2 linked regions of the Arabidopsis thaliana genome follow. The protein of the gene in region 1 interacts with the protein of each later gene in a pairwise test. Each region holds a gene or a part of one and is shown in the gene's direction. Other genes may lie near its edges.

The links.
Region 2: the proteins of DSK2 (region 1) and PEX12 interact in a two-hybrid assay, tested with the Arabidopsis thaliana proteins (one study listed by BioGRID).

What each region holds. Positions count from the first base shown.
Region 1 is NC_003071.7:7,481,379-7,487,450, reverse strand, and holds DSK2 (ubiquitin family protein), read left to right. Parts: upstream 1-2,210; 5' UTR 2,211-2,360; coding exon 2,361-2,589; intron 2,590-2,701; coding exon 2,702-3,466; intron 3,467-3,760; coding exon 3,761-3,993; intron 3,994-4,069; coding exon 4,070-4,183; intron 4,184-4,363; coding exon 4,364-4,416; intron 4,417-4,808; coding exon 4,809-4,837; intron 4,838-5,009; coding exon 5,010-5,093; intron 5,094-5,169; coding exon 5,170-5,318; 3' UTR 5,319-5,570; downstream 5,571-6,072. Other genes in the region: AT2G17210 (Tetratricopeptide repeat (TPR)-like superfamily protein), read left to right, coding at 1-2,053. UniProt on the Arabidopsis thaliana protein: Binds and presumably selects ubiquitin-conjugates for destruction. Prefers multiubiquitin chains rather than single ubiquitins, with a binding affinity for 'Lys-48'-linked ubiquitin chains.
Region 2 is NC_003074.8:1,184,642-1,190,195, forward strand, and holds PEX12 (peroxin-12), read left to right. Parts: upstream 1-1,842; 5' UTR 1,843-1,999; coding exon 2,000-2,107; intron 2,108-2,205; coding exon 2,206-2,311; intron 2,312-2,400; coding exon 2,401-2,549; intron 2,550-2,645; coding exon 2,646-2,895; intron 2,896-3,090; coding exon 3,091-3,200; intron 3,201-3,442; coding exon 3,443-3,517; intron 3,518-3,636; coding exon 3,637-3,723; intron 3,724-3,989; coding exon 3,990-4,297; intron 4,298-4,381; coding exon 4,382-4,400; coding exon of another isoform or gene 4,401-4,453; 3' UTR 4,454-4,867; downstream 4,868-5,554. Other genes in the region: AT3G04450 (Homeodomain-like superfamily protein), read left to right, coding at 1-251, 343-538, 631-707, 787-832, 975-1,035, 1,132-1,201, 1,336-1,623; AT3G04470 (Ankyrin repeat family protein), read right to left, coding at 5,200-5,554. UniProt on the Arabidopsis thaliana protein: Component of a retrotranslocation channel required for peroxisome organization by mediating export of the PEX5 receptor from peroxisomes to the cytosol, thereby promoting PEX5 recycling.

The sequences.
Region 1 (6,072 bases):
TTTTAAAGCTTGTGCTAAGCTCTCATGGCTGTTTCAAGGTAGATGTATTCAAGCAAGTCTGTTAAAGAGAGGTTTTGAGTCTTTTGTTTCTGTAGGGAACTCAATTGCTGATTTCTATATGAAATGTGGAGACTTGTGTTCTGGGTTACGAGAATTTGATTGTATGAATTCGAGAGATTCGGTGTCTTGGAATGTTATCGTTTTTGGGCTTCTCGATTATGGTTTTGAAGAAGAAGGGTTATGGTGGTTTTCGAAGTTGAGAGTTTGGGGTTTTGAGCCTAATACTTCAACATTGGTTCTTGTGATTCATGCGTGTCGTAGTTTATGGTTCGATGGAGAGAAGATTCATGGCTATGTGATCCGTAGTGGGTTTTGTGGGATTTCGTCTGTTCAAAATTCGATCTTGTGTATGTACGCAGATAGTGATTCTTTAAGTGCACGTAAACTGTTCGATGAAATGTCTGAAAGAGATGTTATTTCTTGGAGTGTTGTAATCCGAAGTTATGTGCAGAGCAAGGAACCTGTTGTTGGATTGAAGTTGTTTAAAGAGATGGTTCATGAGGCGAAAACAGAGCCTGATTGTGTGACTGTGACAAGTGTTCTCAAGGCTTGCACGGTGATGGAGGACATTGATGTTGGAAGATCAGTTCATGGGTTTTCGATACGGAGAGGTTTTGATTTGGCAGATGTGTTTGTTTGCAATTCACTTATTGATATGTATTCAAAAGGATTTGATGTTGATTCAGCATTTAGAGTATTTGATGAGACCACTTGTCGAAACATTGTTTCATGGAATTCGATTTTGGCTGGGTTTGTACATAATCAAAGGTACGATGAGGCTCTTGAGATGTTTCATTTGATGGTGCAAGAGGCGGTCGAAGTGGATGAAGTTACAGTCGTGAGTCTTCTCCGGGTTTGCAAGTTTTTTGAGCAGCCATTGCCTTGCAAGTCAATACATGGTGTAATAATTCGGCGTGGATATGAGTCAAACGAAGTGGCTTTGAGTTCTTTGATTGATGCGTATACAAGCTGCAGTCTTGTTGATGATGCAGGAACCGTGCTTGATTCGATGACGTACAAGGATGTGGTGTCATGTAGCACAATGATCTCTGGATTAGCCCATGCTGGCCGATCCGATGAAGCAATCTCAATCTTCTGTCACATGAGGGATACGCCCAATGCTATCACCGTCATAAGTCTTCTTAACGCATGCTCAGTTTCAGCGGACTTGAGAACTTCCAAATGGGCACATGGGATTGCTATCCGGAGAAGCTTAGCCATCAATGACATCTCAGTTGGTACCTCTATTGTTGACGCATACGCAAAATGTGGTGCCATAGAAATGGCGAGAAGGACTTTCGATCAAATCACTGAGAAAAACATCATCTCTTGGACCGTGATCATTTCAGCATATGCTATTAATGGTCTACCGGATAAAGCATTAGCATTGTTCGATGAAATGAAACAAAAAGGTTACACACCAAACGCTGTGACATATCTGGCAGCTTTATCAGCTTGTAATCATGGAGGATTGGTAAAGAAAGGTCTCATGATCTTCAAATCAATGGTAGAAGAAGATCACAAACCTTCATTGCAACATTACTCTTGCATTGTAGACATGCTTAGCCGAGCTGGAGAGATTGATACGGCTGTGGAACTTATCAAGAATCTTCCAGAAGATGTTAAAGCAGGGGCTAGTGCTTGGGGAGCGATTCTTAGCGGTTGCAGAAACCGTTTTAAAAAATTGATCATTACCTCAGAGGTAGTAGCTGAGGTTCTTGAACTCGAGCCCTTGTGTTCTTCAGGTTACTTGCTTGCGTCAAGCACATTTGCTGCAGAAAAATCATGGGAAGATGTAGCAATGATGAGGAGGTTGGTGAAGGAGAGAAAGGTTCGGGTCGTTGCGGGTTATAGCATGGTTCGTGAAGGAAACTTGGCAAAGAGGTTTTTGGCTGGAGACAAGTTAAGCCAGAGTGATTCTGAATTAAATGATGTCGTTCAGAGTCTTCATAGATGCATGAAGTTAGACGATACTGCAGGACCGATAAACTAAAGCCCTTTGGGCCTCAACGAAGCAGATAAATGATATTATTATACGATGCCGTATGTATTCTCGGATCCGGGTGAGAAAAGGAACGAACCGGGTTTTGTTTTTGACCCGACCCGGTCCCTTCGATCCGTTCTCTGAAGCAGAAGTCTTCTTGTTTTGTTCTCTTCGATCCATTTCGTCAAGCAATCTACCGAACCGACTCAGAGCTTTTGAGTCTTCTAAATCTCTATCGAATTTTTCTAGGGTTAGGGCTCCTGATCGATTTCGCGAGCTCTGCGATTATTTTAAGTATTAGGATCCGAAATTAGAAATGGGTGGAGAGGGAGATTCAAGTCAGCCGCAGAGTGGTGAAGGAGAAGCTGTGGCTGTGAACATCAGGTGCTCTAATGGCACGAAATTTAGTGTGAAGACGAGTCTCGATTCAACGGTGGAGTCTTTCAAAGAGTTGGTGGCTCAGAGCAGCGATGTTCCAGCTAATCAGCAGCGCTTGATTTACAAGGGTCGTATCCTCAAGGACGATCAAACTCTCCTCAGCTATGGTAATCTTCATCGTTTCTGATTTATTCGTGTGGGTACTTTTGTTGTTCTCGTAGATCCTTATTGATTGAAATTCTTGTGGATTCTATTCTCTGTGGAACATGTTATACCTAGGTTTGCAGGCTGATCACACCATTCATATGGTTAGAGGCTCTGCACCTTCTTCAGCACCACCTCCTGCTCCGGCCGCAAGCCAAACCACTGCACCTAGTGTTACTCGAGGGGTTGGTTCAGATAATAGCTCGAATCTAGGAGGAGCGAGTCCTGGGGAATCTTTGTTCCCTGGGCTTGGATTTAATCCTCTGGGTGGTGGAAATGCTATGTCTGGGTTATTTGGAGCTGGTCTTCCGGATCTTGTGCAGACACAGCAACAACTAGCTCAAAACCCTAACATGATTAGAGATATGATGAATACTCCAGCCATCCAGAACCTTATGAACAACCCAGAGTTTATGAGGAGTATGATTATGAATAACCCTCAAATGCGTGAGCTTGTAGATCGCAATCCTGAGCTTGGTCATGTGCTCAATGACCCAAGCATCCTTCGTCAAACTCTAGAAGCGGCAAGAAACCCAGAGCTTATGCGTGAAATGATGCGGAATACTGATAGGGCTATGAGTAATATTGAGTCTATGCCTGAGGGATTTAACATGCTTAGGCGTATGTATGAAAATGTCCAGGAACCGTTAATGAATGCTACCACTATGTCCGGGAATGCTGGAAACAATACAGGCTCCAATCCATTTGCTGCTCTGTTGGGAAACCAGGGGGTCACTACGCAAGGAAGTGATGCTTCTAATAATTCTTCGACACCAAATGCTGGAACGGGGACTATTCCGAATGCAAATCCACTTCCTAATCCTTGGGGTGCTACAGGTGGTAAGTAACTGCATTTTCATCTTCTAATCTCCTGTCGATTTTATTTGTCTTTTGAAGGATGCAGTAATATTTTATAAATGAAAAAGTGGCTTGTTTATAAGAAATGGACGTTACTGTTCACTGCTCTGCTTCAGGAACAATATTGTGTATAGTAAATTGGTGAGTTAGTGTAGTTACCACAATTTGTTGTTATGTGTAGTTTTTGCATATGATTTTCTTGGCTTATTGTTTCTAATTTAACATTTACTCATAATACACTAAATATAATTGAACATATTGTGGGCTACTTGACAGGTCAGACAACTGCCCCTGGAAGGACAAATGTTGGTGGGGATGCGAGGAGCCCTGGACTTGGTGGCCTTGGTGGTCTTGGAAGCCTTGGAGGCCTTGGTGGACTCGGTATGCTTGGAGCGGATTCACCTCTTGGTGCGACTCCAGATGCTTCTCAATTGAGCCAGTTATTGCAAAACCCAGCCATATCGCAGATGATGCAAAGCGTATTTTCCAATCCACAATACATGAATCAGGTAGGCCTAGAATGATCTGAACTTAAGAGCCTTTTACCATTGTGAACATATATTAATTGTTTTCCCTTGATTCCAGCTTATGAGTCTTAACCCACAACTCCGAAGCATGCTAGATTCGAATCCTCAGTTGAGGGAAATGATGCAGAACCCAGATTTCCTTCGTCAGTTTAGTTCTCCGGAGATGATGCAGGTTAGTTTGTCCCCTATTGTCTGTATGCATATGAATTTTTAACATGGTAGTCTCTCAAAAGAAACATTTCTTTGTATCTAAGCTATTTTCAAGTAAAGAAGTTTCTTTTCTTTTTTTTTTTTGGGACAAAGTAAAGAAGTTTCTTAAACCTAATGTTTTCTATTGTTTTTTGGTCTTCAGCAAATGATGACTCTACAGCAATCACTATCTCAGAATAGAAATACAGCCAGCCAGTAAGTTTTGTTAAAACCCTTCGTTGTTTGGATTTGCTTAAACAAAGTTGAGCATTTACATGTCCTTTACATATTGTTTTTTGGGTTGTTTAGTGTTTAGACAATGTTGTAACTAGCTAAAAAGATTGGTTGTGAACGATCTCTATAATAAGAAAAGGATTGAACCATGACTAATGCAGCAACTCTTGTATGATTTACTGGGCTGATCACTAGTAACATCTATCAAAGAGGCTATAAATAAAGCATTTTAATCGTTGGAATACACTTGAATAGGGCTCATAACATTTTGTTTGTTTTTGATTATGCCTTTTAGCATAAGCTATGTGTGTTAATCTCCATATTTTGATTTTCATCAATCCGCATTCATGTTCCCAAATCTATCTTCTCTGTAGGGATGCGGGGCAAACTGGTGCTGCCACAGGTACTCTTAAAGATATTATATGTATTTATTCTACAGTAGTATAAAGGGTTTAGTTATGTTACGTAGTATAGCAGCTACTCTTTAGTTCTCTTTGCTTTCATGTATGTTTTATTTTAGCAGATATTGTATCGTATACAAGTTAATAGTAGAATGACAATACTGATGGGGACAGGAAATAACGGGGGGCTGGATTTATTGATGAATATGTTTGGCAGTCTTGGTGCTGGCGGCCTGAGTGGCACGAACCAATCCAATGGTTAGAGACTACAAATTTTTTTTAGCTTACGCATCTGTTGTGATGGTTCCACTGAAACTTGTCTGTTTGATTCCAGTTCCTCCTGAAGAGCGGTACGCTACTCAATTGCAACAGTTGCAGGAAATGGGATTCTATGACAGAGCAGAGAACATTAGGGCGTTGCTTGCAACCAATGGTAACGTTAACGCTGCTGTAGAACGACTCTTGGGGAGTATCGGACAGTAGCATACAGGTTCATGAACTGATGTCTCTCCATCTGGCTTCTCAGTTATAGAATAAACAGCTTGAATGTGTGTTTTTCAGTAATGATATATTCATCGAATTCATAAAAATTTATATATGATAGGATCGTGAACTTTGTTGATAGAAAAGCCGCATCAATACGGTATTTGTTATCAGTGGTCACTCTTCGTCTTTAACTACCCTTAAACCTATATATCTTGGGTGTTTATCTTTGATAACTTATTTCAAGTTGTTACAACATACAACATCTGTAAATGTTTATAGACATCAAAGTGAAATTGAACCCATTAAATTTTTGGTTCCTTCTGATCCGGTTCAAAGGTTAAACCAAATTGCCCAAAGAGAGAAGTGGCATGTTGCAAAGGAATATCCAATTAGTTGATTCATCATCTTCAATTAGATTCAAGTTACAGCCAATTCCTTCCTGAACTATATACCAAATGCCTCAATTTAGACCCGACCCGGCCCAATCTTACCCAGTAAGAGTCGTCGATACGTTCTCTGAAGCGCAAGTCATTTCTGGATTCTCATTTAATTGGCCGTTCGGGGCCAAATAACTCTTTAATTTTCTGCAGTCTCATTTGTTATTCGACCAAAAATAATTTATATCCCTTTCCTCAAGAAATCTTCAGAACCGACTTATTAGAGCTTCGAGTCTCCTCAAATCTTCTTCTACGATTTTTTCTTCTAGGTTTAGAGCTTTTGATTCTCCGATCAATTTCGCGATTTGTTGAAC
Region 2 (5,554 bases), on another chromosome or scaffold:
CCTTGCAATTGATCAATCAACCTCAAGAACAGAAAATTATGACTTGGTCTTCAGACCAGATTCGGGGCTTCTTCGATTTTCCTGTTCCAGATCCACAAGCAGCGAGCAGCAGAACTATGGTTTCATCCAAGGAAGTGCTTTCAAAATGCGAATGGCCAGACTGGGCGGATCAGTTGATCTCTGATGATAGTCTTGAACCAAATTGGTCGGAGCTTCTAGGTGATCCTAATGTACTCAATCTATATTCAAAGGTTCGTTTCTTTCAGCTAAATATGAATCTCTACGCTTATTTCAGCTAAATATGATTCTTCTATTAAGACTGACTCTGATAATGTCTTACAGATAGAAACACAGTCTTCTGATATAGCAAGGCAAGAGATCGTCTTTAGAAATCAGCATCAGGTGGATCCATCAATGGAGCCGTTTAATGCCAAAAGCCCACCAGCTAGTTCAATGACATCTAAGCAAAGAATGCGTTGGACACCAGAACTTCATGAAGCATTTGTCGAAGCTATCAATCAGCTCGGTGGTAGTGAACGTGCGTATGCCCTTTTTTTTTCCTTCTCATGCCTGCAAAATTTAGCTGAACAACTTATTATTATTCTCTTGGCTTATAATTTCAAACCACAGGAGCCACCCCTAAGGCTGTTTTGAAGCTCATCAATAGCCCTGGGTTGACCGTTTATCATGTCAAAAGCCATTTGCAGGTTACTATTCTCCATCTATGTTTTCGGTTTGTATGCTTACAGCTCATCTTAAACGTCTTTATATTATTGGCTTGTCCAGAAATACAGAACTGCAAGGTATAAACCAGAGCTTTCCAAAGATACAGGTACTTGAGGCATCTAAGGATTCAAACTGTCTTCTCAATATTTCACATAAGCTTATTATACTTTGGAAACATAATGGCATTTAAAAGACTCTTGTGTGATGAAACACGTCTTTATACATAATCAGCTTTTCTTCTTGGACAGAAGAACCTCTAGTAAAGAATTTGAAAACCATTGAAGATATCAAATCTCTTGACTTGAAGACGTAAGGAACATTTTACTTCTCTGTCAGAACAGACTAAGTATCACCTAGGATAATATTTCTTCATATCTAAGATTTTTTTTTTTTATTCTTCTTCAGGAGCATTGAAATCACTGAAGCTCTCCGGTTACAGATGAAAGTTCAAAAACAACTCCACGAGCAACTTGAGGTATAATAATTCAAACTGCCTAAAAGAAGCTTTTATAAAACAAAACAGTGTCCTTTCCTCTTCATTTGTCTGATTTCTTAGTTTTTGGTTTTAGCTGGTGATTTTGATCTTATATTGGTCTTAATACAATGCAGATCCAAAGATCACTGCAGTTACAAATCGAAGAACAAGGTCGGTATCTTCAGATGATGATTGAGAAACAACAGAAGATGCAAGAGAACAAAAAAGACTCTACTTCCTCATCATCAATGCCAGAAGCTGACCCTTCAGCTCCATCACCAAACCTTTCACAACCTTTCCTCCATAAAGCAACCAATTCAGAACCATCAATAACTCAGAAACTGCAGAATGGTTCTAGCACAATGGATCAAAGTGAATCTACTTCTGGGACTAGTAATAGAAAACGGGTTAGAGAAGATTAGACATCTCATGAGTATGATCCAAAGATGTTGCAAACATATGTAATTGTGTATATAAAATTGAAAATATCACAGCAGCAAGAAAATGAAAATTTCTTCTTAATGGAGATGACGTGGACAAATCACTGTCGAGTTGGAATGTTGTCGGCTGATGAGTCAGCAATTTAGATGACGTGGCTAAAGAACATCCTTATTTATGACGTAATTAATAATGATCTCTCGAAATGCGTCTTTTCTTCGTCTGTTCTATCTTCTTTACCAATTTCTGCAATTCTGGAGAAGCTAAAGGTCTCAATCTCTCAGTCAAAAACAAAAGGTCTCTCCTTTATTAAACTATCTATCACTAACTAGAAGAAGAGATTAGAGGAGGAGGAAGAAGATGTTGTTTCAGGTGGGAGGTGAAGGCACACGCCCCACCTTCTTTGAGATGGCTGCTGCTCAGCAACTTCCTGCTAGCCTTCGCGCCGCTCTCACCTATTCCCTCGGCGTATAATGCCCTTCTCTACCTACGTCTCTTTTCGATTTTGAAATTTGGTACTTATCTGTATGATTCTTATATTTGTTTGCTGTTTCGTGATTTTTTAGGTTTTTGCTTTGAGACGATCGTTTCTCCATAAGATTTTAGACTATGAGGATGAATTCTTTGCTGCTCTGATGCTTATTCTTGAAGGACACAGCTTACGAACCACAGGTAGCTTCTGGATTCTGTTTTAGGTTTTGTGTGAGAGTGTACTGGAACTTTTTTGCTTATAACAGTTAGAGGTTTGTGAATTGTTTCAGATGGTTCCTTTGCTGAATCATTGTATGGTTTAAGGAGGAAATCAGCGAGATTGAGATTGAGGAAAGACAGTGCCAGGAAGGATTCTAGCGAAGAAGTTCAACATTCTGGTTTAGAGAAGCGTCAGAGAATCCTTTCTGTTGTGTTTCTGGTACTGACTCTTTCCTAAATGCTATAACTTTGTAAATGCGTATATGTTGAAAGCATAAAGCTTATGCCTTTAAGCTTGGTTACTGCCTTTTTCTAGGTTGTGTTACCGTATTTCAAGTCAAAATTGCATGCTATATATAATAAAGAAAGAGAGGCTAGGCTCCGGGAAAGTTTATGGGGTGCAGAGGATCAAGGATTTGATGAAGCTGACTTCTTCACAGGGGATGATTCAATTGTTTCAAGAGAGCCTAGTGGGAATGAAGAGCTTTCTGTTCGAGTACAATTAGCTACCAAAATTAAAAAGTTTATAGCTGTCTGCTATCCTTGGATACATGCATCAAGTGAAGGTAATTGTGGATTTATGTGAGCATCGACATTTCGACTGCATAGTAGCTGATGATTCTTTAACATAATTACGAGCACTTCTTAGTTTACACTGATTAGCTTCGTGCGTAGACTTCTATCTCTGAGTTTCATTGGCATGGAGAATTTTATTTGATCTGTATCATTTATAATGAGCTTATATGGGATCCTCTGTGTAGGATTATCGTTCACTTACCAGCTCTTATATCTGCTGGACGCTACTGGATTTTATTCTCTTGGGCTACAAGCTCTTGGGATTCAAGTTTGTAGAGCTACAGGGCAAGAACTGGTATTAACTTCCTCCTTTCTGGTTGAAATTTCGTGTCACCATTATCTTACTATGCACCCCATAGAATTAGGGCGCTTTGGCTTTGTTGGATGGTATTATTTAAAATTCTACATACATCTTGCTGCAAGATGTTATACCATCATTGACTGACCCATAAAAACCTTTCAAAGTGGTAAATTTACATGTGTTATGTCTTAACACACTTTTTTTCTTCGTCTTTACCTTTTTTGATGCCAAGATAGATGGATACATCCTCAAGGATTTCAAAGATTCGGAATCATGAGCGTGAGAGACTTCGTGGTCCTCCATGGTTAAAAGTATGATTTCACTTTTCTTAAACTTCATGTAACCTAAGGAATGAGATAGGCTGATTCCTACTACTGCTTACACTTTAGTGATCCAACGTCTGACAGTATTGTTTTGAATATTGAATTAGACGGTGCAAGGGGCACTTCTTAGCTGCTCATATGCTGTGCTTGACTATGCCCAAACCGGTCTAATTGCAGCAGTTTTTATCTTCAAAGTAAGTATCCATAAATGTCCCAGTTTATGTTACTTCTCTTATTTCACTGTCTTAAAAGCTTCCAGCAGAAGTAGGTTCCTTTAGGAAATGAAGGTCCTAAGCTTAAATTACATTAGATTAGATTTTGTATGCTACAGCCACCGCTAAATCCATAAAGCTTATTGCTATACTTATGGCGTTTTTGACTCTCGGTAGATTTTTCATCGCATAATCATTTAGTTGAACCTAAACATCTAGCTCATTTTCGTGTGTTTTTGGTTTTGTAGATGATGGAATGGTGGTATCAATCCGCTGAAGAGAGATTATCAGCTCCAACAGTGTACCCTCCACCTCCACCTCCTCCAGCCCCAAAGGTAATCAATCAGGTAGCATTATCTGAAACTTATGTAAACATCACTCAGTCGACTTTGTCAAAGTTTTTGTTTTTCTGTAACAGATGGCCAAAGAAGGAATCCCTCTACCTCCAGACAGATCCCTCTGTGCTTTATGCTTGCAAAAACGTGCAAATCCATCAGTTGTCACTGTCTCTGGATTTGTTTTCTGCTATTCTTGCGTATTTAAGTATGTTTCAAAGGTGAGTTCTCCAAATCATTACTCTCTATTCCCAAACCCCAACCTTGGTATTAGCTTATATCCGTCTTCTATGGTAATCACACAGTACAAGCGATGTCCGGTGACATTGATTCCAGCCAGCGTTGATCAGATTAGGAGGTTGTTTCAGGACACTTAGGACCAGTCTATTTAATGGTTTTAAGCCAACAGTGAGAGTTCCATCATCGTTCTCCCATGCAAGTTAGAGTCTGAACCAGAAGAGCTAAAAGACTGCCAAGTGAGACACTAATACCCCAATTGATTTTATATATATATATGGATAAGCTTTCATTTAGAGCTCACCAAGTCTGGGATCAAGTGCTTCTTGGATTGAAAGAAAGCTGTGTTAATCCTAATCAAAGCTGATTCTGATTAAAACAGAGAAGGCAGACAAATGGTTACTTTTTTCTTTCTTAGTTTCAGCTTCGAAATTGTTGTCTATTGCACAATGGGGGATGATATTATTGTTCAGGATGGAAAAATAAAATTTATATACTGATCAAATTTATAAAGAAAAGGATGGAAGAGATGATTGGAGTTCAAACTTTCATAGCTCATTATTGAATTAGCTTTGCACTTTTGCTCCTGAACCGAAAAAGTTTTCTGATTAATGTCAAAAATTTCAAAGTCGATTCAGAAATGGTTTAGGAATGCTGGGGGAGTAAGAGGAGTCAAAATCGAACCGAATAGAAAAAAAGGATTAATCATTAAGAGAGAACAAAGATGTTTGTTAAAGGAATTTCAGAAATAACATGACATACAAGAGCAATAAACAACACTACCAAAAGCCTTTTCTCAAGGCCACAATGATGGCTCAAAAAGTGAACATCTTTGAATCCAGCCAAAGCAAAACCTGAATGCAATGATTCAGTTACTCCGGACTCATCATTCTTCGGCTACATGATTTGAACGGGTACCCGAGTCACTAGCACCAGCGGCTTTTGTAGCCGCTTGTTTCTTCCTCCTGCTCTTAGCTTTCTTAGCTTTCATTCGACGTTTCTTCTCAGCTGAATCGATCCATTTGTAATCTGAAGGTATCAAGAAAGGGTCAGCCTCGTCTTTGTAACGGTTACTATCATTGTCACTTGATTTGCCACTTCTCATCCATGAGATCCATGATGGTGATGAGTTCTCTGAAGAAGACGACTTTGCATCATGAAATACCGGACTAGAAGGAGGTGTTGAGAACTCCTCCTCAGCTGCCTGAAGTTCTTCAAATTTGGTGAAAGTAACAACAACT